Linked DNA regions of Schizosaccharomyces pombe. The gene in region 3 interacts genetically with the main gene of each other region. Each region holds a gene or a part of one and is shown on either strand. Other genes may lie near its edges.

Region 1 (3,766 bases), on a different chromosome or scaffold from region 3:
GAGCAAGTTTCTCTTTACTGGTCATGAAGATGGCTCCGTTTCCAGATACGATGCTATAACCGGAGAATTCGTTGAATCTAAACAAGTTCATAATTCTGGTTCTACTATTACTGATCTTCAGTTTTATCCTGATCGTACTTACTTCATCACTTCTTGCAAGGATACGACTGCTAAAGCTATTGATGTTGATTCTTTTGAAGTCATCAAAACATACCTTACTGATACGCCTCTTAATACTTCTAGTTTTACTCCTGTCCAAGACTTCGTTATTTTAGGAGGTGGTCAAGAAGCCCGTGATGTTACTACTACTGCTGCTAGACAGGGTAAATTTGAAGCACGTTTTTATCATGCGATTTTAGAAGAAGAGTTAGGCCGCGTTAAGGGTCATTTCGGTCCTATCAACACAATAGCTGTCCATCCCAAAGGAACCGGTTATGCTAGTGGTGGAGAAGATGGTTATGTTCGGGTGCACTTCTTCGATAAAAACTACTTTGACTTCAAGTATACATTGTAGGTTAATTTTATTCAAAAAACTGTTGATAGTATAGTAATGGACAACGGAACTTTTTTCCAAAGATGTATCATTTTCGTTTAGGGAGCATTATATGAAAAATAACCTTCTATGAGTACAAGAGTTTTTTAATAAATTCCATTCAAAATTCAAATGTTTTAAAGTGAAAAGTAATGTAATTGTCATATTCCGTAAAGCAACTAACTTATCAAACGCTTCTTTTAACGAGCTTTTGAAACATGTTTGAGGAGAACAGCCCCAGAAATTATAATTGCTCCAAACCATATGTAGTTGTCTATCTTGCTGTAGGCTGGAGTCGTTATTTCTCGATAACTAGGTGTTTTTTTTGGGAAGTATCCCAAAAGTCGGTTGATGAGATTTTCGTCGAGCATGGCAAGTTCCTCCAAAGACCACAGTTCGCAAATCTCAATCATCCATCTCATTCTTTTGCGACTGTTTTCAGGTTCGGGAACAATGTCTCGTAATTTTTGTCGTAAAAGGCCAGTTTTTTCCAATGCCATACCAGTAGCTGGATTGATTGAACTTTCGATTTTTTTTCGTATTAAACTGGCAAGTTTTGGACCTTTACCATTGGTGCTAACCATAATTTGTAGAGGGCCGTTACGGATTTCAGACCCAAAGTAGAAATCACATTCAGGTGGAATATCCGCCGCATTGACCGGGATTTTTTTGCTTTTGCATAACTTATAAATTTCGGAAGACAAGCTGGGATCATCTATGGCTGTAAGTACCATGTTTACATCGTCAGACAAATCTTCGACTAGAAATCCCCTGTCTCGCCATTCAACTTGCTTCTCCTGTATTCTCCAAGCCACTTCTTTACAAAGACCAGCTTTTGGACTTACAACGATAACATGGGCATCCGCATTCAAAACATGCAATATACGCCCAGCTGCCACAACGCCACCTCCAACAATTAATACTTTTTTACCTTGTGCACGCCAAGCAATAATTAATGATCTAAAGCTTAGATTAGCCTAAAAATTACCTTGAGATACATCAAAAAACTTTGCTAGCTTTCATTTTGTATGCTTTGCTAATTTTTCAATTCTGTGTAGATGAAAGTTAAGATACTAAAAAGCTGAAAATGATTTATAGAGCCTTGTAACTTCATAAAGATGCTTGACTTACCCACCAGGCTGCACAGACTGATATTTTGAAGCCATTATTCAAATTTTATCTTAACCAAGTGTAGGTGTTCCTGTATACTTGAGAATTATAGTATCGCCAATTACAATTCGACATTCAGTATCTGCTTCCCTATACGGGTTAATAGTTGGGAATCCTATTACGCGTATACTATTCGTTTATTTAAGACCTAAATTTTCCAGTGAATTAAAACTACCTTGTGAATAAAATCCCGAGGACGTGCAAATTTTTGAAACTATTTCATAGCACCAACTAAGCATATTCCTATACATCATAGATTAATTAATATGCTAAATTTATATATTTTTTTCATTGACAAGAAATATCCATACAAAAGTAATAGATGAAAGTGGCTCTTAGACTACTTAGTCGTATTTAAATAAGACGTTAAAATTCTTCATTAATCTCCTTACCATGTATACCAATGTGGTATAAACAAATTTGCGACGTCAAAGATTCATTTTTTGAAAACGCCCTGAACACAAATGTGTTAAAATAAGCTTCTTCCAGAAGGCCAGGTGTGTCCGAGAATTTTGGAAGATAGTAATAATTTACTTCGAACACCGAAGACAAAGAAACAGGAATCGTGGCAAGCAAAACCAAGTTGTTCATGTTGCTTAAAATTTGATAATTGATATCATTGATAAGCCCAAACATTTGGATTTCACGCGGGAAATAAGAATCATCACCATGTATTGGAAAAATTAGTGAAATATGTCGCACGTACATTGGTCGATTTAAACGCACAGAAACCTGTACAGTATCTTCGTAATTACACCAATTACTATTGATGCTTGTGTCAAGTAAAGCCGTCGGTAGATTTGCTTTTTTTCCCCAGTAATCCCTTAAAATGTCAGAAAATTTAGGCTTAGGAAATGTCCATCCGTAGTCCACGACAGCACCAACAACTTTCAAGGCAAAGTCCGGGTGATCAGCAACATTTCTCTGGGAACAAGAATGTTTTATGTATTTTTCAACTCTTTTTTCTAAGTTTGAATTGAGTTTTTGATGAACAGATTCCTCAAGGTCTTTATGATAATAAGAATATGTGGCATCAAACTGCTTCGCCAAAAGATTTTTAGCAGCATCTTTTTTTAAATATAAACCGGAGTTTATGATTGAAAAATTGGTGGTCGATCTATTGCCATAAAAAGACTGTGATGAGTTGTGTCGCTTTACAATATACATAGCTTCTTTAGAGCTTTGAGCAATGTTCCGTAATATATCTTTCAAACAAAGAATATCAAGATTGACACTTTCGTGTAAATCTTCAATGCAAAGTAAATTAAAAATAGACTCTCCATTGTTAATTCTCAGAAAGCCCCGATACGAAGGATTTCGCAATAAATTGTAATGTTCGGCAAAAGAACAAATGGCTTGAACACTCTTATTGACTAATGAAATCGGGATGTTCCCAGGGTGTTTTTCGGAAACAGGCAGATGCGACACTAGGTATATGTCTTTTTCAATAAAATCTAGGTAAGTGTTCAGTAGAGGGTTAACAGAATCATTTATATCCTGTATTTTAAGATCATAAGTACTCATTAAATTTCTATCCCAAAAATGTAATAAAACATCTTCAGGGCTAATTGGATTTTGATAAAGAAGTGTCTTTGCCTCTGTAAGGTTTGACTGTAGCTTTAGCAATGGCATTATAGAATCACGTTCATTATATGTTGAAGAGGAATTACCAAATTTGGATTTAAACAGAGATTTCGCTTGTTCCAAGTGTTTGCCAAAACTTATATTAAAATTTGAAGGAATGAACCGAAAAGGAATTCTGTCTACGAAATCCTTATAAAAAAACTTAATATTTACTCGTCCATCATTAGGTATTAGTAAAAACAACGAGAAAAGCAAAAGAAATGAGAGTAAAAAGCTAACTTTTCGACGGTTCAAAAGAAACTTTATGATGGAAAATACAGTGCTGATAAATTCTAAAGCTTGCTTACAATAGTAAACGAAGAAAAAGATCGACTTTTTAAAGAATGTGTTAGAGATATTTCTAGATATGTTTGAGTTGACATCTGACTGCAGGCCACGGCTCAAAGGCGAAGGGTCGTTCACAGACAATTCGTCGCTTGC
Region 2 (4,160 bases), 1.3 Mb from region 3:
TAGACATTACTTTCAAAACATCAAATTTTTCTATTTATATGCTCTTTTTAACAACCACCATACCTAAATGAATTACTATTTTAAACTTAGTATATTTTCTAGGCAGCGTATTTTTTGCGAGATAAGCAGTTAAAATTTAAACTAATACTTTAATGTAAAGCAAAATTTGTGATTCATAGAGTACAATAAAGCACTTTGGTCTCACATTAATACAATGACATACACCGACCCCAGCTGTTTGAGTGCATATAAAGCATTAAAATATAGTGATAATAATTTAACTTACAAATTTTCCACTAGCAAGACATACCTACAAATACCGGGAAAAATATCCTCTAATATTCGTTTAAAGCTGTCTTTAACAGCATAACTTAGCGCGGTTTAAATCCCTTACTTTTCGTACTTGTCATAAACCAGGCAAAGCTTCTAAGTATTTCAAACTATCCATATCTCTTGAGAATAAACAGGTGTTTTTAGATGCTAAACTATTAAGACGAACACAAAACCTGTATCTGGAATAAAAAAATATATATTTAATATAAAAGATGGCTATAGCAAAAAACAGAAAGGAGTATGTACGTTAAGGAAAATTAACAAATATCAAAGAGGTAAACAATTAAACCCATCCAGGTAACTTCATAAAACGAAAATCAAAAATCACCACCGAAACGTTCCTAAATAAAATAAATAACTCAATTTGTGAAAGTGTGGGACATATTAAAAGATGGGAGTGAACACTTTTGAACTTTAATGCATGCAGGTAATATGGCTGTGATGTACACATTTAATCGTAATCTCGTTAAAAGGAAGAACTATATGAGATTATCCAAAGTGCAAAAAAATTTATGGCGAACGTATATGTTTACCGTATTTTGATAGCACCATATTCAGAAATTGCAGGCAACTTTGTTGATCATCTCTGTCAGGTTGAGATAGAATGCAGTCCTTTAGGAGATTTATTTCTTTATCTGCAACAGAAATGGAAATAGCTTCAAGACGATACTCAAGATTTACCCAAGCCTGCGAAATTTGCTCACATGTGCTTGGCAATAAACAGTATGCTTTCAATAATGACCGATAAGTGACATGAGTAGGCTTTAACCCGTACTTGTCTATCATATCAAATCCAGCAGAAAGCCATTTTACATCCTTTAAACGACTAGCAATAGAGAACAAGGTGTTGGCAGTACTAATGGATGGTTTGAACTCCTTTACATCTGACATCTTGTTGATAAACGTAGTGATAAAGTCGGTAGCCTTTTTAATATCCCGATCTCGTTCAAATTGCTTCATTGAAAGACTTAAAATAGCATTTGTCAAACGAGTGATATCTTTGGGTGACACTGAAAGATAATAATCGAAAATAGTTAGCAAAGGATCTAGAGAATGGTGTGCTTCAAAAAGTCTTTGAAGTAACCAAACGGTTGTATAGATCGTTGGTAGATTTCTTTCGTTAAGATTAGAATTTTTCAGATAAGCAGCAGCTTGATCGACGAGACCTTTGTTGACAAACACTGAAATAATGACATCGGAGTGAAAACTTGTTAGTCCGTTAAATTGAACTAAAGCTTTATGAGCTTTACTGCTAATACCTTGATCTTTGAAAACAGTATAAATCAAATACACAGCAACCAATTCATTTACAACTTCTTTCCCTTCAAGTTGCTCGTGAATGGCTGAACCTATTTTTCCACACTGTTCAAAACTGGCACCTCCAAGTATCTTAGCTTGAAGTGCTGAGATGTAGAGGTTGCCTAAAACTCGTTCATCTTTAGGTAAAAACTCCATATGGCTTAAGCTCATATCAGCAATTAATGAAGCCTTGTCAAAAAGGTTTAGGTCGATATATGATTGGAGCATAATTCGCCAAAACCTAGCAGAGGCAATCTCTTGGTGTTCAATTGCATATCGAAGTATATCATCAAGTTTGTCGAGAGTAGCTTCATCTACATTACCTCTCCCATTGAGCATTTTAATCCGATCTACCAAAAACAAAATGTATCTATTAATGGTTTGACTATCTAAAATGCCAAATGGTTTCAGGCTGCTGAAAGTAGCAACGGTTTCCGTATACTTGCGCGCCTTCATTTCATCATTTAATTGTTTCAGCTATTTACCTGTTAGAAAAAGGTGGAAACATCAGCCTTTACATACCAAATTTTGAGAATTCTGCCTTACATGTTGTTGAGTTTCAGCGGTGAATGAAGTTTGTAACCCAGAATGTAAAGGCGGAGCGGTGAAAAGGGTACGCGTATTTTGTAAAAGTGCATCTGACACTTTAGCATTACTACTACGCAGCAATTTCCGAAAAATTTGGCTCCCAAATCCTTGCATGGTATACGCTTGGGGTAAGTTTGTTGTTGCTGAGTCATGTTGTGGCTACTCTCTACTCAGTCAGGATTGATCTAGAAAAGATCAGCAAAATGGCGTTTCCTGAATATGTTAGAACTGATTCTATTTTATTTTTCTTTTCCTATAATAGTTCAATCATGTAGTAACAAAGCAACTTAACTAAGACTCTGCTGCATGCTTAGGCACATTCTTTGCAAATTAGTTAAAACCGGCATTTACAATATTTTTAAAATTTATACAATCAGTCTAGTTTAATTTAGGTAATTTAATAGATAGGACTTCAAAATCCCTGTAAAAATATAATGAAAAGTAATTTTTTCAGTTGCATCAATTAAAGGCGTCGCTTTCATATAAATTCTCAAAGCATTTTATAAGGACTTTCAAAGGATGGCAAGTAGTGATTGAAAACCAACACTTCTTTTTAAAAGGTCTACTGGTTATCAACAAAATACATGTCTATGATGAATTAAATTTAAAATTAAAGAAAGGACAAAATGTTAATATTGAAATATAGAAATCAATAACTTTCAAAAGTATATTTTTTAACAGCGTACCCAATTATCCAAAAGATTACATATAAAACTAATTTAACAGACATTCAGTCAGAAGAAATATTCTGAAGACTAGACTTTACGGCTAGACATTTCGATTTTAGGACTGCAATGCTTTTAATGAACAAGACATCGGGCTTCATAATACCGGTGCTTTCAACAGAAAACAAATAATGATCGCGTACGCGGCCTAATTGCACCTTATCTGCAAATTCGGGATGTCTCAAGCATTCGCGGGATACGGTGTCTTTTCGAACGTCTGCTACACGGGCTTGTTTTTTACCATCAGGTCCTTCTTCAAGCTCGATGACTCCTTTAGGGAAGCATTTTTGAAATTTAACTGCATCTTCACCTTCAATAGGAGACAAGATATGTATAGTAGGCAATAAGCGGTAGGAGGCAGTAGCAACAGGAGAAAACTTAGCATGGTCTTGTCCAATACCTAAGATTGCATGAGCTTCTAAATCGATTTCCTGGCCAGGACGCAATTTTGCAACAACAATATCTGGGTTGACTACTCGTATAGGATTGTCAGCAAATCGCTCTTCCTGTCGACCTTGCGGTTTCCAAATTAGATCACCCGAATAAACCTCAGAGTTAACGTAAAGTCTCTTTGGATCTTTTTCATCTGTAGCGGCATTCTTATTAAACTCGCATTTCTTATTAAGGGAAAAGACAACAGTATCGTAATCAGTATGAGTTGCCTCTTGTCCTGGCAGAGGATGTTGAAACCATTTAAACATGTCAGGATCAGCAGATATAGGTACAAGACCTATTCTGTGAGACAAAACCTCATCTTGTATTATGCTCGTATTGTTTATGATATACACGAACTCAAATGCAAGAGTTGGGATCTCGGCGATTAAAATCCTCCTAAATGCATTTGCAATGGATGCATCAATTCCAGAAATTTCAAATACCATTGTTTCTTGATCGAGAGACGTAATCGAAACTTTTAAATTTTTTTTAAATTTATCAAGATCCCAGATGTTGTCTTCATCAAAATAATAACCTGGAAAATCTACACTTCCTACATCTGTAACACGATCAGAAAGGACAGAGATTTCTGTCCTTGATCTGTCAACCGCTGCCATTTTTAATTTTATGAAAAAAACGGTGAGAAGTTGCAATATAAACTTTTAAAACCTTTATATGCGTAAAAATTCGCTATTGTGTGGTAAACACGATAGTGCGAATAAAAGTAAGACATTGCAAATTAACTGACAATAGTAGTAGAGCACTTGAAGAAGCGTAAAT
Region 3 (6,086 bases):
AACAATTCTAGCCGTTCTGCTTACTCTTATATTAACAACGGTCAAGCAGGCTCTTCCAAAGGTAACCGATATGATAGTTTGTGGTAGGAACTCATATCACGCTTTAATGATCACAGAAATACATCTCAACACCTAATCCGCCATATTTGCTTTAAAAAAAGTAGTTTTATTTTATATAGTTGCTCACTACAATTCTCGCTATTGTACATGTGAATCCCATTGCGTTAAAAATTAGACAAGATATAAGAATAATGTACAATTAATAAACATCTTTTAAATCAACGAAATAACACAGAGACCATACTTCGCAAACAAACAAATTGGCTATTTACAAAAATTGAATTACAAGCTGTTTGGATTTATTCGCTATCGCTCTCAACAATCCGACGCTTCACTCTTCTTTGTACAGAACCATCACCGACAGAAGTCTCTGTAACGGTCTCGGATCTGTCAGTTTCCACTGCGCTAGGAATTACCTCATCGTCTTCATATTTATTAATAGTAGCTCGTGCTACACTTGCTTCTTTATCCGCATCAAATCCTTTTATATCGGAGCCAGCTCCAACTTCTTCTTCATCCTCTTCATCTTCTTCTTGTTCCTCTTCTTGTTCCTCTTCCTCTTCCTCTTCCGCTATAAAGTCACCAAGGTCATCTTCTTCATTTTCTTCCAGATCCTTATTATAACCACGATATTGACCAGCTCCTTCTTGTTTAATTCGTTTTAAACGATCCATACGGTCACTGTCAATGATTTCATTTTGTTCGCTATAAGTAGAACGGGGACCGTAGAAGGAAGAGTAATCCTCTTCTTCTTCTCCTGTTCCATTCTGATAATTGTTCAATTGCTTTCTTTTCTCTAAACGTCGCCGAGCTCGACTTCGTTCCTCCTCATATTTTTCAGCCTGACGCTTTAGTAGTTCTGGATCCTTTTCAATAATAATTTCTTGTACGCTTCGACTAGGAACCTGGACTGTGGTGAGACGCATAGATGGCAATTTTGATCTTGTAGCAGTGTTAATGGCTGAAGGGAGGAATGTAAAACTGCTTTTGAAGGATGTTTGAACTCTCAGTAAATGTTGTGCTTCATGTGAGGCAGTAACAAAAGTTGGTTGAGATATTAATTTATTTTGGGTATCATATATGTCGTTACCAATGCGAAGTGAATATGAACCATCAGACCATTGTACAATTTGCGCATTCGATTGATAGCTTCCAGACGGCCCCAATCGCCAGCGGACAGTATTATCAACTTTATGTTTTATTCTTTGACCCCAATGCGCGTCGTGTTCTAATAAAGCTGCATCTGCTTCGGCTTCCGCGGCGTACTGCTCTGGATCGTACGGAGTCTGTTCCACAGAAAGGAAATTTGGAATATGAGCATGAAACACGTCATTACTAGCAGAAGCTGGTGATTTGAAATTGGGAACAGCGACTTCAAGGACTTTCTTTACAGGAACACTAACATTTGTTAGGATGCATAGATTTAAATAGCTTGCTATAGTAAAAGACGCTAATTTTTGATTTTTTACTAAAAAGCCTCATGAAGCGATTTATTACTTTCACCACTGTGGCAGCTGTATAATAAATACACATTTAGAACTACCATCGGCTAGAATCAATTCGCTTCATCTATAAGACTGCAACTTACTCTGCTTCAGGGGCTTCAGTAGCCTCTTCTGTATTCGAAAACAAGCCGTCATCGCTAACGGCTGTTTCACTATCGTTTTCTATATGGCCATTTATAAGTTCATCTTGCTGCGAAGTATGATTGTCTTCATTCTCACTAAACAAATCATCTTCCTCTTGACCGTTGCGGATGTCTTCTTTAGAATCCGACATTAAATCTATTTAAATTCCTCAAAAATTCACCAGTCTAAACTTTCCAGATTGGTTCCGGTCAGAATACGTATGGTGTTGTACTAAGATGCATTAAATTGAATAATCACTAGAAGGTACAATCCTGTTACTTGTAGTGCATGGTGGTGGTAGAAAGCTTAGGGTAGCTCATAGTTAAAACCCATACCCGTGTTTCCACTTTATATTTTGAGTTATATTTATTATTGTCAAAGTATATAGCGAATATTTTTTGTAAAATCATTTAAAATCTGATAATTTAACTTTTACTTTTATTGTATTGTTAGGTGTACAGGCGAATTATCTACTATTTTGATTACAGACCTCAAGCTTGTTAAGATTTATTTTTGATTTTTAATTCTTCCTTCTTATAAAATGGCACCTGCACCACCGCCTCCTCCTCCAGCACCAGCGCCTGCTGCTGCTGCTCCGGCCCCCCCTCTAATGACCGGAGATCGATCAGCTCTGCTCAATTCTATCCAGAAAGGAAAGAAACTAAAAAAAGCTACAACGAACGACCGATCGGCTCCCGTTGTCGGAGGAGGTGTCGTAGGCGAACGTAAATCTAACACTCCAAAAAGCTTTGCTGCTCCTCCTGTACCCACAGGCGCACCCTCTTTACCGACTTCTTCAAATAATACTCAGCAAGCAGAAGAGAGACCTTCCATGCCTGCATTAGGAGGTTTATTTGCTGGCGGCATGCCTAAGCTTCGTCATATTGGAAAGTCAAGTGCTTCAGCCGCACCACCTTCCGCTCCTGCTCCTCCTACTCCACAATCTGAGTTGCGTCCGCCAACAAGTGCGCCCCCTCGACCTTCAATTCCTCCACCATCTCCTGCATCTGCTCCACCTATTCCTTCAAAGGCACCTCCTATTCCATCGTCTCTACCTCCACCTGCACAACCTGCTGCACCGGTGAAATCTCCTCCTTCAGCTCCTTCATTGCCCTCAGCGGTACCTCCGATGCCACCTAAAGTTCCTCCACCTCCTCTATCTCAAGCTCCTGTTGCTAATACATCATCACGCCCTTCTTCTTTTGCTCCACCAGCAGGACATGCACCTAACGTTACATCAGAATCTCCTAAATTTCCTAATAGAGGTCCATCCATTCCTTCAGCTTCTGTTCCTCCAGTTCCTCCATCTTCTTACGTCTTGCAGCAGCGACCTAATCGTGGTAAGTTTGCGATCATTAAAAGCATTATTTTTTTATTAACACAAAACTCTAGTTGATGATCATGGAAGATTCCACTTTAAGGATGATAGTTACTTACCAATTCCTCATCCCTTTCTTGGAGTCCCTAAAGTTTATCGGGGTGGTAGTGGCACTACGGTCCCTTTGAATCTCTCTTCATTTTAACAAATCTTTTTAAAGCTGTGTACGATTAATCTACTACCAGTGTTTAGTTGTTAAACACAGAATTTTCTTTCGTTAGATGGATACTAATAATTACTCAGTGATAGAAAAAAACTAAAAATTCATGCGGCCTTTTTTATGAATATTAAAATTATTTATAAAGATTCATTAATCCTTATAAATAAATCGTTAAATAAACTCTAAAATTAATAAATTAATGTATAAAAAAGGATTATCGTACAACAAAAAAACGAATGTTCTTAAATAGCCCCAAAAAACTCCCAATTGCCCAAATTTAGTAAAAAGTTACGACTGCTCTTCGTCAAATAACATATCCAAAGCTTCATAGTTGATTTTTTTTGAAAAAGCTCTTTGTTGCATCATTTCTTTTGCACTTTCAGCAGCAGTATCGGCTATTCCATCACTAGTGCTATCTCTAGGACGATATCGTCTTCTTTTACGAGGTTGTCGGACAATTCCTTTTTTTAAATCTTCTTGGAGTTTTAAATTTTTCGCCTCTTCCTCAGCTAAATAATCTTTATTCAACTCCATCCAAACTTGAGTTTTAGTCAATATTTCATCCTTGTCAAGCAAAATATCTTCAATTTCATCATCATCAACGTCTTCTAAGGTAACTTCTTCCTCCGAAAATTTAACGTTAACTTGTAGAGAAATCTTTCTAAGTTCATCGCCCTTAAGGGTTTCAGTAACCTCTTTCCTAATTTCTCTTTCATCGGCCTTCAAATGCACAGGAGTTTCTTGAGATTCAACTTTTACTGTTTGCGAAAGCTCTTCAGACTTAACTTCGTTGCCATCAAAATCCGGGGTCCTTTTAATAGGGGACATGTATTCTTGTGTGTGATCAATGTTTGAAACTTTTTGAGCACCGTATTGTTGAAACTTTTGATTTTTAGTAAAGCTAGGAGGATCGCTCTGTCCTTCCAGCCAAATGTTTCGAAAGTCGGCGATTGAAAGATCACCGCTCTCAGTTAATTTAAACTCATCAAGGCGTTTTTGAATAGTGATATCCGCAACTTTCACGACATGAACCACTTCTCGTACGCTTCGTCGAAAATTATTCATTCTTGCTGCAATGAGTAAGCATGCACCACAAATTCCAGCTGGCCGACGACCAATTTGCATCCAGTCTCTATTCATTCGCGCTACCAATCTGATAGCGTCGTTTGCGACACGATGTGTTTCCGGTCCAAATTCGAGTAAAGAAGCAAATCTACTGATATATAAAGACGGATCTAAAAGAGGTAAATTAGGCCTTAAAACGCGGCACAACTTGAGAAAAGTAGACCCAAGCTTAAAAACGTTAATTTGCAAAATATCAGAAAAATCGATTAACATATGAGACGTCTTAGATATCCGGCAAACAATATACAAACAGGATGCAACAACGTATTGCGATCTCCTTCCTTTTATAAAGTTGTTGTTAATTGCCAGTGTAAAGTAGCGAACTGCTGCTTCGATATGGCGTTCGTTAAGTTTTAAAGCAATTGCCAATGCCGAAATTCGGCGACGTCCGTTTGCAATGGTAAGTTCTCTGGATTCTACGGATCCTTGATTTCTGTAAGGGCCACCAAAAGTCCGAGCATGAGCTAAAGCTGTGTTAGATATAAGTCGATGAAAAATATGGACGAAGAGGTGTCTATTAGTAAAAGATCAAACCAAAATTTAACACAGACTGAACAAAAAAAGGTGACTGCATCAGAACTGTAAAACACCGCATTGCTGGATGATTGCCTTCTAACTTACTTTGATCATTACTCACAAGAGAACCCTGAACAACAGCTGCACCAGTTGAAGCCTCTCCGAATGTCACTTCCGAAACAATTGCATCTTGCTCGACGACAACACCGCATTGTGTACTATTCAATGGTTAGCAGTCAATTGCCACGTTAAAATTATATAATAAAAAAAACAACTTACCAATATGTATTTCCAGAAGCGGTATCAGATTCAAAAGTAGTTGAACCGCAATTTGGACATCCCATGGCGAATAACTGAAAACACTTGGGCGTTAGCTGTTTGGGAAATGGTATTTATCAAAGATTAAGTTTAACCCACATGGAGTACTTAAGTGGGGGGGGGGGAAAGAAATATCACTGCAAATATGCATACTAGCATATATTTTAAAGGTCTACAGAGAATTTAATCGGGTTTAATTGTTTGTTATTTTATTTTGTTTTTTTGTTCTTTTTTAATGGTTTGGAAATGAAGAGCGTTAAAATAAAATTAAAAATAGTAAATTGAACTTTGCTTCTGTATATGGTATTTGGACTTTTTAGTTTAATATATATTATAACAATTTTTACTAGTAAATTCTCTAGTTTATCTCGAGCATTGCAAGTTTAGCAAATGATTAATGAATCGTGACTATATGGTTCATTAAATCTTTTTATGTTAATTAACTTGTTAAAAACATTGTTTGGCATATATATTTATATAAGATTATGCAAGTAACGTAATTAGGAGAATAAAAAGTAAGACAGAATATATAAAGAAATAACTTAAATTGCTTGAAGTTAAATAAATATTGGTAAAGATCTTAAGGTACTGTGAGAAGCGTAAGCGGATTCTTATTTCTCTATCTTAGGCAACACTAGCGTTTCTATGCATACAACCTCATAGTCCTTACTCACCTTTTCTCACATATATTTAATACGCAGATGAATCGTTTGAATTTTCAAAGTTTACTCTGGAAATTTGGACAAAAAAGGTTTTATTACAGACCATGGATCAGAATTGAAAATATTAAACCAACACCATTATGGAAACCGATTACATTTGCTGTTGGTGTTGGTTCTGCCACCTTTTATACGGCCAATTATCTCGATAAAAGAAGAAAAAACTACCCCAAAAGCTCATA
Region 4 (7,990 bases), on a different chromosome or scaffold from region 3:
ACGCTGTAACTTCATGCTTCCTGATTATATCTTCCAAATCACTGGCTCCCTTTATTATTTTGTCATGGCAAAATTTTGTGAGTTTAATATGTTTTCTGTAAAGTAAATTTACCATTTGTACCTTGATGCTTCAACTCATAATGTACTCGTCTTTACTTTAAGCTATTCTATATTTAAAGGCCGCAGGGACATGAAATGAATAATAGAAGAGGATATTTCACGAAAAATCTTTAATTGATCGTTAAAAAAAAGGTCTCTGGTGTGTGTGGCAGTAGCATCTTCCTTCTGGCGTTGGATTACTACAAATACTGATTAGCTTACATGCAGAATATTAAGAGGTTGTTCAAGTTTTGAAAAAAACTTATTTAAAAGAAGGGCAATTTTTTAGAATAAAAAAGAAAGTTTACCAATAAGTTATCTAAAATTATAAAAGGATTATTTGTTTTACTAGAAGCTAATTTATTGAAATTAATTGAAAATCACTTTATTTATTCCTGTTGGGCATTCAGGTTTAATAGAATGTGACCCACACGATTAAAGTAATTTTTAAGTAGTTCTCTAAGTTGATCATCAAGGTTCTCCTTTGCAATCATAGAACAACAAGAAAAGTAAAGAGTGTGAATGTTTTCGGAAAATAATTCTAAAGGAAGATTCAGTATACTGTCCAGGATTGTAGCAATGACAGGCTGCCATGCAGCATGGTTACGCGTATGTTTCTCAACAACCAAGGAAGCATACATATCCAGCATTTCGGCACAAACCGGAAAAAGAAGTTTATGAATTTTCTGATCCGTTTCTGTTTTACCTAAAGGGTCTCTGGTTTTTAATAAGCGGAAGAGCAAAGTGATGTACAACAATGCACTAGCCGTTTCTTGTCTCAATAAATTAGGGAGTTGCTTCATAAATCCAACGTTCAAAAGCGTAATACGTAAAGATTTGTCTTCATTAAACTTGCGAGCAAACTGCCATGAGTCGTAAATAGCCACAGTTATTTTCAATACATGTTCATGGGGGATATGATTAAAAACTTCCTCGTTATCTAACAATTCAGCAACAATACTTATTAAAAGTAGTTGAAGAATACATTTTCGAATCATTGAACGGAACTCCATCTGTTTCTCAGGGGAAATTGAGGATGTCGAAATTGAACGAGAAGTTTCCGGTAGAGAACCGCCTCGCTTATGGCTCAATTGAGTATTTTCATTTTCGGAGTAAACAGGGGCTCCTTGCCCATTGGAAAATGTTTCTAGAAGAAGAAGCTGATGAGGGGTGGTTTCCTTGAATAACTCAATAAACATATCAGCGACCAGATTCCAATCTTTAACTTCAAACCTATACGCATTTCCAGAAAGTAGCTGCTGCATACAATTTGTTCCTATGCGAGAAAGTGTAATATTATCTCTACAAATGCAATTGCTAAATAACCATAGATAACCTTTTAGCAAATTGTGAAGTTTGTCAAAACGGCGTGTTAACAAAGTGACGAGACTTCGTAACGCTTCAACAAGAGTAGTAGATTGCCAAGTCCTGATCTCCTCATCCCTTAACATAACAGTCGCTTCATCCGCTTCTGGTCCAAATATTGAGAATATCGGGAATATAAATTTTCGTGAAACAACTTCCCAAGTTTCTTCAGTGAAATCATCAGACTCTTCTAAGAATATATAAAATAAGTTTTGAAGAGCTCTTGACCTTACTTCCAAGTCTTCAGCTGACATTATTATATCATAATATGCAAATAAAACTGGGAAAACATATTTAGAAAATGTCTCATTTACTGAAGGCTTGGAACTAAGTCCTTCCTTTATCATAGTTGAAAGACTTGAATAAACTTCTCTAATAATTTCCAAACTTTGTAAAGAGATTTTCTGGTTTGTTCCATTTTTGCATAATTCAGTGAAGGATATCAACATATCTATCAAACAATTTTGCTGCATTAAAGTATCATAATGCTCGGAAAAAAGATTGACAAGGGTATCAAAAGTCATAGAAATTAATATTTCGCTTCTAGCCTTAGCCGCAAATGTAAAAACGCCAAACAAAGTTTTCCATCCAGATTTTATTTTGGAAATTTTAGCTTGAATCATTTGCTTAACACATTGTAAAACAAGTTCTTTGACTTCTACTACGGTATCGGAAGCCATAACGTACTCAAATGGCTTAAGGAATTCTTTCTGAAAGGAAAAGAGAGACAACTCCTCAATTTCGAGAAAATGCATAGAAAGCTGCCTCAGGGAATCCAATGCAAAAACAGCAACATGCCTATTCTCATCACTACCCACCATGTTGAAGAATCTACCCAAAACGTTCCAAATTGATGACCATTCCACTCTAATCCTTTGCATGTTATAATAGGATATCTCAACCAGCTTTTGTAGACTATATAGCCTTGGCTGCTCCAAATCACTAGAAGATGTTATTTCATCCCAAGAAACTTCACATAATGCTTTAAAGAATGATACTATCGCAGAGCCAGAAAGAGAAGATGTTTGGGTAAATATTCTATCAATGCTCAACACTACCTCAGTGGACATTAGTTCTGAAACTGCCTCTGGGGATAAAGGTTTAGATAGTGAGCGAGTTCTAGTCGAACGAGAAGTACTTCCACTAACATGCCGAATTGAGTTTGAAGAACCAATGTTCACATTCTTTCGACGAACACGTGCATTTATAACATCAGGTACTTCTGTTTCATCGACACCAACACCAATCAGTTGCACGCGTTCTAGTTGACTTATAATAGTAAGGATATCTTTCCAAGAATCTTTCAAATTATTACCTTCGGTAGATGCAATTCTCAGTAATGTTTTTATAACCATAGTATTACGTAATTTGATTTCACTGGTAGAATGCAGATTAGTAAAATTAGTCAGAGTTTTTATAAAAGCGTCTCGAATAAGGTCAAGGTCAAAGAGACAAGCTATACGGACAACAAGCTGAAATCCATCAAGACACATATTAAGTTCATTAACATAATCAGAATTTTGTAAAGGGTTTGAAAGAGCAGCAAGTATAGGCATCCAAGTAGCCTCAAGCATGGGACCTATATGTTCAAAATGAGTAGCATTGTAATAAACATTTGTTTTTTGTGATCCATGTTTCTGTTGATACAATAGCTTTTTTAGCACACTTGTAGCCTTATTAGCCATTTCCTCCGAAGCTTGAATACAAGCTACTCTTTGCAGATCTCGTCCATTAGAAGTAAATGTGGTGAATCCACTAGATGTGCTGAAATTATTCATTAAAGGAGCAATCGCTGCGAGTTCTTGATCATCTTTCATAGCAATTTCATTTTTAAGAATGTCATCATATACAAAACCAAGATAGTCTTCATCTAAATCAGCACCGTCATTAATTCCACGATTATTTTTAATGAAGTCTTCTTTTGTCATTTTGTTTTTAATACGAGGAGAATGCAAATCAGTATTAAGCAATATTATAGAATAAGCAAGAATGTAGGCAGTATCAGCATTAGCGAATGCAGACGGATTCTCCTTCATATACCTTTCGGAAAATTTCAGCATAATTCGATCAATTTTTTGGGCTTCACCGGGTAGTCTGAAACACTGCAATAGACGACGTAAAGCGTCTACAAACTTTAAATTTATAAAAGATAAACAATCAATAAATTCATGCATCACGGAAATACTTTTCTCATCCCCTTCTCCTAAGTAATCTCCTAAAGTAGTTTTGTCAATACCATCAGCACGAAACAGAAATTCAGCGATAGCTTTAGGATCATTTATGTCAACATATTCATTTTCTGAAAGCATCTTAAGACCTCTAGTAGGTTTGTAATTGAACTTGTTTATACAAGTCCGTAATAGCTTCTTTCGTTGTTTGTTTGATTCAAATTGTGAAGGATCTGCAAGTGCGATAGAACTACTGCTATGGGAATTTGCTTCAAACGATTGTTTTCCGTTATAATAAGGATTCGTCACAGGAGTATCAGACCTGGAAAGCGCATCATAATCTCCAACAAAACCTTGCTCATCCGTTGACACACCTCGGCGAGATAAATAAAGACCACTTTCGGCCCAATTTGATAAAGATTGCAAAATGTCAAGGACGCATTGCAAAGTCTTTAGCTTCAATTGAAAATCGCTAAATGTGGTAAGTTGAACCACTTCGGACTTTAACGAAGCAGAGTTCGTATTTAGAAAAGGGGTACTACTCCGTTCAGAAGATTCTAAAGAAGGAAGAATTTCTTCAATATCTTCGGATATCGTTTCCGAAGGACCATTGGTAGTAACTTTTGAGATTGAAAACAGCAATTGTTCGAAAACGTTGGTAGTGGAAGAACGATCACAATCGTAATTTATATACAACTCTACAAGAGCTCTTGGATTAAGACAGATTCTCTGGATGATTAACAAGGTATGGAGCTTCTGATTGTAGGAGGTGTTCTTGAGGTCTAACATCGGAAAATAAACTTCTCGAAAAAACACTTCAATTTCCTGTTTGAAGTGGGCACGCAAAGAAAAAACCATAAGATAAAAAATGTCACAACAGACTTCAAACACCTGGGGAACAGGACTTACAGCATTGCGAGATAATACTAGGCAAATATATTGACGGGAGGCATGAACAAGGGTCATTCCTTTAAGTGCTGGGATACCACGAAATTGGAGAGTAGGATCCATGAATAAGTCACTATTTTTTTCTAAAATGCGATATATAAGATGGAGACTAATTAATTTCGCGCGCATAGCTTGAGATCTGATATTACTGACTTTATCAGGCGAGGTTTGTCTGACAGCAAGTCGACACATGGATCGGAACACTAAAAACGCGTCTTGGATAGAGGAATTCTCAACACTGGTGACAGCTGGGTCATCTGCGTCAACTTTAACATGATCTAATGATGAAGTGCCAGCAGATGCCATAGAATGAAGAGTAATTTTCTTGTCAGGCTCATCCTCATCGTGAACCCAATTTTCCGTCACCGATGCATCTTCTTCCGGTAAAGCAGATGTAGAGTTCGACTGAGTGTGGCTCGCGCGTAATCGTTCATAGACTACAGTGACAGCCTGAGTCAAAGAAGCTTGAGCAACTGACTGTATAGTATCACTATCCCCGAGAAGAAAGACATTAAAGAGTTTACGAACAGAATTCAATAATATCGCTCCATGAAGCATACTATCCTGCTCAGAACATAAGATAAAGGCAGATAAAGCTTTTACAACATTCAATTGCAGATTTCCATCAACAACTTCATCATTGATACTATCGCATACCATATCAACCATACACTGTAGAAGGGATTTAGGGGGCCCAAATGAGGCAGGTGTTTTATCTTTTGAAGAAAAATAGGCGAATGAAGCAAGTTTAGAAATAGTGTCTAAAGAAATGTTCATAACTTCATCTTGACTGGATTCAAAGCAGTACTGAAATAACTCTACTATCAAAAATTTGTCAAACTGACATTCGGTTTGTAGAAGAGGTTTTAGTTGCTCCATTAAATTCTTCATCTTCTCGTTCTTCATACAAACTTTTATTTGTATAAGCTGCTCGATGCACTTTATAAGCACTACATGAGTGGATTTTTCCAAATTGGTTAAACCTGATTTTTGCTTTTCCAAACTGGCCCTCGATGCAGCGTCAGGTACAGGCGTCGCGATAGTTTCATTGGATTTTTTGTCGTCTTTCAAGTCTTCTTCTTGATATTTCTGCTCGATTCCTTCGGGACTCTTTTCGTTTTCTTGTTTCGCTGGCGACAACGACGAATCTTCTGTATTTATATCAATACTTACCACAGCATCGCCTTCTAAACTTTCAGAAGCAACACGACCGAGATCCATACCATTTTCATCATCTTCGTTGTCAGAATCATTAATAATTTTAGTAACTGATGTTGTTCCAACTTCTGGAAGATCTTCGTGTCTGTCATGTTGCTCATTCACGGAGTTCATAGGCAGAGCAGGCATATTGATCACAGGTTCAGAGGCATCCTGCATTTTGGCATCGGTCACGTTCAAGCCAATTGCCGTCTAGACGAGCCAACTTTTAGCAATGAAATATAAGGCGGAGTATGTCTTTGCTAAGTGTTTTCGGCCTTAATGTGTCGAACGTTAGATCTCGGTTCAATGTGCTACTTATATAAAGCAAACGAGCGAGACTTATAATAAATTGTTTTATTACAGTATGGATTAAATAGTAAACATTATAACTAGATTTATACAATATTCGTTGTTTTACTGAAACTTTTATTGTCGATATTGACCGTGAACGTTTTCTTATTTCTTTTTTACAGGACAGCATTCCTTAAACTGTAAAAGGATTAAGGAATTAAACAAAATGTACGATTTCTACCATTTTAAACATGTTCTAAAAAAAAGAAACAAACAAAGTTAAGTATTAATATTAGGCTACATTTTTTCGTCCCCTTAAAAATCCCAAAAAAAAATATCATAAAGTTTAAGAAAAGGATATCAGTCCAAGGTTTCAAATTGACCATTTAAAAATTCGACAAACATTTCCTTGAGAACATTGGTATTATATGATTGTTGCCGGTTAATTTGGATAAATTGACGGCGCAATCTTTGAAGTAAAGGAAGAGATACTGTAACACTGGGTAATGCGATTTGAAGTTTGCTCCCTGGTACAGTAATCAAGGAGGTATCGTTGGAATTATCCAGTATAAGCATGATTACGTCTTGAGTAGTTTTATCTAATTCATATAAATAGTTGACTTCAGCTGGAGGTTTTACCATTGTAGCTTGGTTAGGCTTGACATTTTTGTTATGAATAAGAACTGACCAGATGTCATCGATAGGACAAGAAGCATCATCGTGCAAGACAGTAAATAAAGGGGAATCCCATCGTGTCATTCCATTCGGTTCTTCATAACGAAACATTAATTGCTCAAGAACATCGTCAGGATACGGCTGTTCCTTGTTACTATTGAATTTTCGACATAAATCTTGAGGAACAGCAACATGAATCACACAATGAGTTGTGTACATAGACTTTGATTCACAATATAACTGGTATCGAAATCCTTTTATGTAATTCAAGGCATCGCAAATTACGAATGTAGATTTTGAAAGTTCACGCTGAACAGCAGAATAGAGAAGGCCACGAGCGGCCTTTTCGTTCTTGGACTCTAAGACAAATTAGTTACCAGAATTACGAAAAATTGCATATACGGATTCTCCCATCATCTAGAGTAGCTGGGCACAATCTGAAGCCAAAAATGAATTGGCTAATTTCCAAAAACTAAATCATTAAAGATAACTATTTAAACATACCTCGATATGTTTCTTTTTCAATGTTTAAACTCTCATCGTTTATTATTATCACCCGATAATCCTTTGTATTGTCGATATTTTGATGAATTCGATCTTCTAAAGCCTTTTTAAGTTCATTTGACCTCGTTGTTTTCCCTGAAGATGGATAACCTGAAACAATTATTAATGGCATTTTCTTTATGTTCTACAAAATAGAAGGTTGAATAAAATCAGCCGTAAAACATATGTTTGAAAACTTCCAGCTTTTTTTTGATATATTTTTTCATGAATTTAACGAAAATTACTAGTTCGTTAAACATTAGTAAACAGTTAATTTTTATCCTTAATTTGTATTTCGTAATGCGCTCAATTTCGGTACTGACTTATTACTTACGACTAGTAAGTATTGCTTAGGCTTAAAAACACAGTAATTTCAATTTGCGGTCTCTTTAATTTAATCTTGCTTCCCTTTACCTTATCAATTGTTCTAAAAGAATTAAGGATTAACACTAGTAAGACCCCGGATTTTAATCGCTAAAAAAACATGCACGCCTTCTACGCAATCAGGGTTGTTCAATTTAAAAATAGTAATCATTTGTTGAAAGATTTTAAAGGTGCATAGGACATCAAGAAATATAAGCTAAATGCAGTTGATTAAAAGTTAGAAAAGTATCTACTTATGCCGCCATTAACATGTATCTGGTAAAATGCGACTAACTTATAACACATGTTGTATACCAGTCCAATGATTAATTTAGTAC

What was found.
Region 1: mutations in vrp1 (region 3) and met8 together harm fitness more than expected from each alone (negative genetic interaction), as found in Schizosaccharomyces pombe (one large-scale study listed by BioGRID).
Region 2: mutations in vrp1 (region 3) and ppr8 together harm fitness more than expected from each alone (negative genetic interaction), as found in Schizosaccharomyces pombe (one large-scale study listed by BioGRID).
Region 4: mutations in vrp1 (region 3) and sec72 together harm fitness less than expected from each alone (positive genetic interaction), as found in Schizosaccharomyces pombe (one large-scale study listed by BioGRID).

Annotation. Positions count from the first base shown.
Region 1 is NC_003424.3:5,359,840-5,363,605, forward strand, and holds met8 (siroheme synthase), read right to left. Parts: upstream 1,736-3,766; 5' UTR 1,699-1,735; coding exon 1,664-1,698; exon of another isoform or gene 1,493-1,663; coding exon 733-1,492; 3' UTR 517-732; downstream 1-516. Other genes in the region: sum1 (translation initiation factor eIF3i), read left to right, coding at 1-514; protein Csi2, read right to left, coding at 2,069-3,766. UniProt on the Schizosaccharomyces pombe protein: Catalyzes the conversion of precorrin-2 into siroheme. This reaction consist of the NAD-dependent oxidation of precorrin-2 into sirohydrochlorin and its subsequent ferrochelation into siroheme.
Region 2 is NC_003423.3:4,393,103-4,397,262, forward strand, and holds ppr8 (PPR repeat-containing protein Ppr8), read right to left. Parts: upstream 2,346-4,160; 5' UTR 2,335-2,345; coding exon 2,155-2,334; intron 2,110-2,154; coding exon 844-2,109; 3' UTR 508-843; downstream 1-507. Other genes in the region: DNA-directed RNA polymerase I and III subunit Rpc40, read right to left, coding at 2,951-3,997. UniProt on the Schizosaccharomyces pombe protein: Mitochondrial RNA-binding protein involved in mitochondrial translation. The cox1 mRNA is one target but it is not clear if ppr8 has a single or multiple targets.
Region 3 is NC_003423.3:3,053,246-3,059,331, forward strand, and holds vrp1 (verprolin), read left to right. Parts: upstream 1-2,019; 5' UTR 2,020-2,229; coding exon 2,230-3,028; intron 3,029-3,080; coding exon 3,081-3,211; 3' UTR 3,212-3,514; coding exon of another isoform or gene 3,515-4,815; intron 4,816-4,830; 3' UTR 4,831-4,972; coding exon of another isoform or gene 4,973-5,085; 3' UTR 5,086-5,146; coding exon of another isoform or gene 5,147-5,211; 3' UTR 5,212-5,558; downstream 5,559-6,086. Other genes in the region: SPOM_SPBC13E7.07 (uncharacterized protein), read left to right, coding at 1-87; RNA polymerase II-associated Paf1 complex protein Leo1, read right to left, coding at 360-1,458, 1,649-1,839; transcription factor TFIIIB subunit Brf1, read right to left, coding at 3,515-4,815, 4,973-5,085, 5,147-5,211; rbd1 (rhomboid protease), read left to right, coding at 5,887-6,086.
Region 4 is NC_003424.3:4,386,468-4,394,457, forward strand, and holds sec72 (Sec7 domain-containing protein sec72), read right to left. Parts: upstream 6,027-7,990; 5' UTR 5,958-6,026; coding exon 489-5,957; 3' UTR 375-488; downstream 1-374. Other genes in the region: kti12 (elongator complex-associated protein Kti2), read right to left, coding at 6,432-7,105, 7,251-7,422. UniProt on the Schizosaccharomyces pombe protein: Guanine exchange factor that acts as an activator of arf1 at the trans-Golgi net-work and is thus involved in vesicular budding and traffic between compartments of the Golgi apparatus.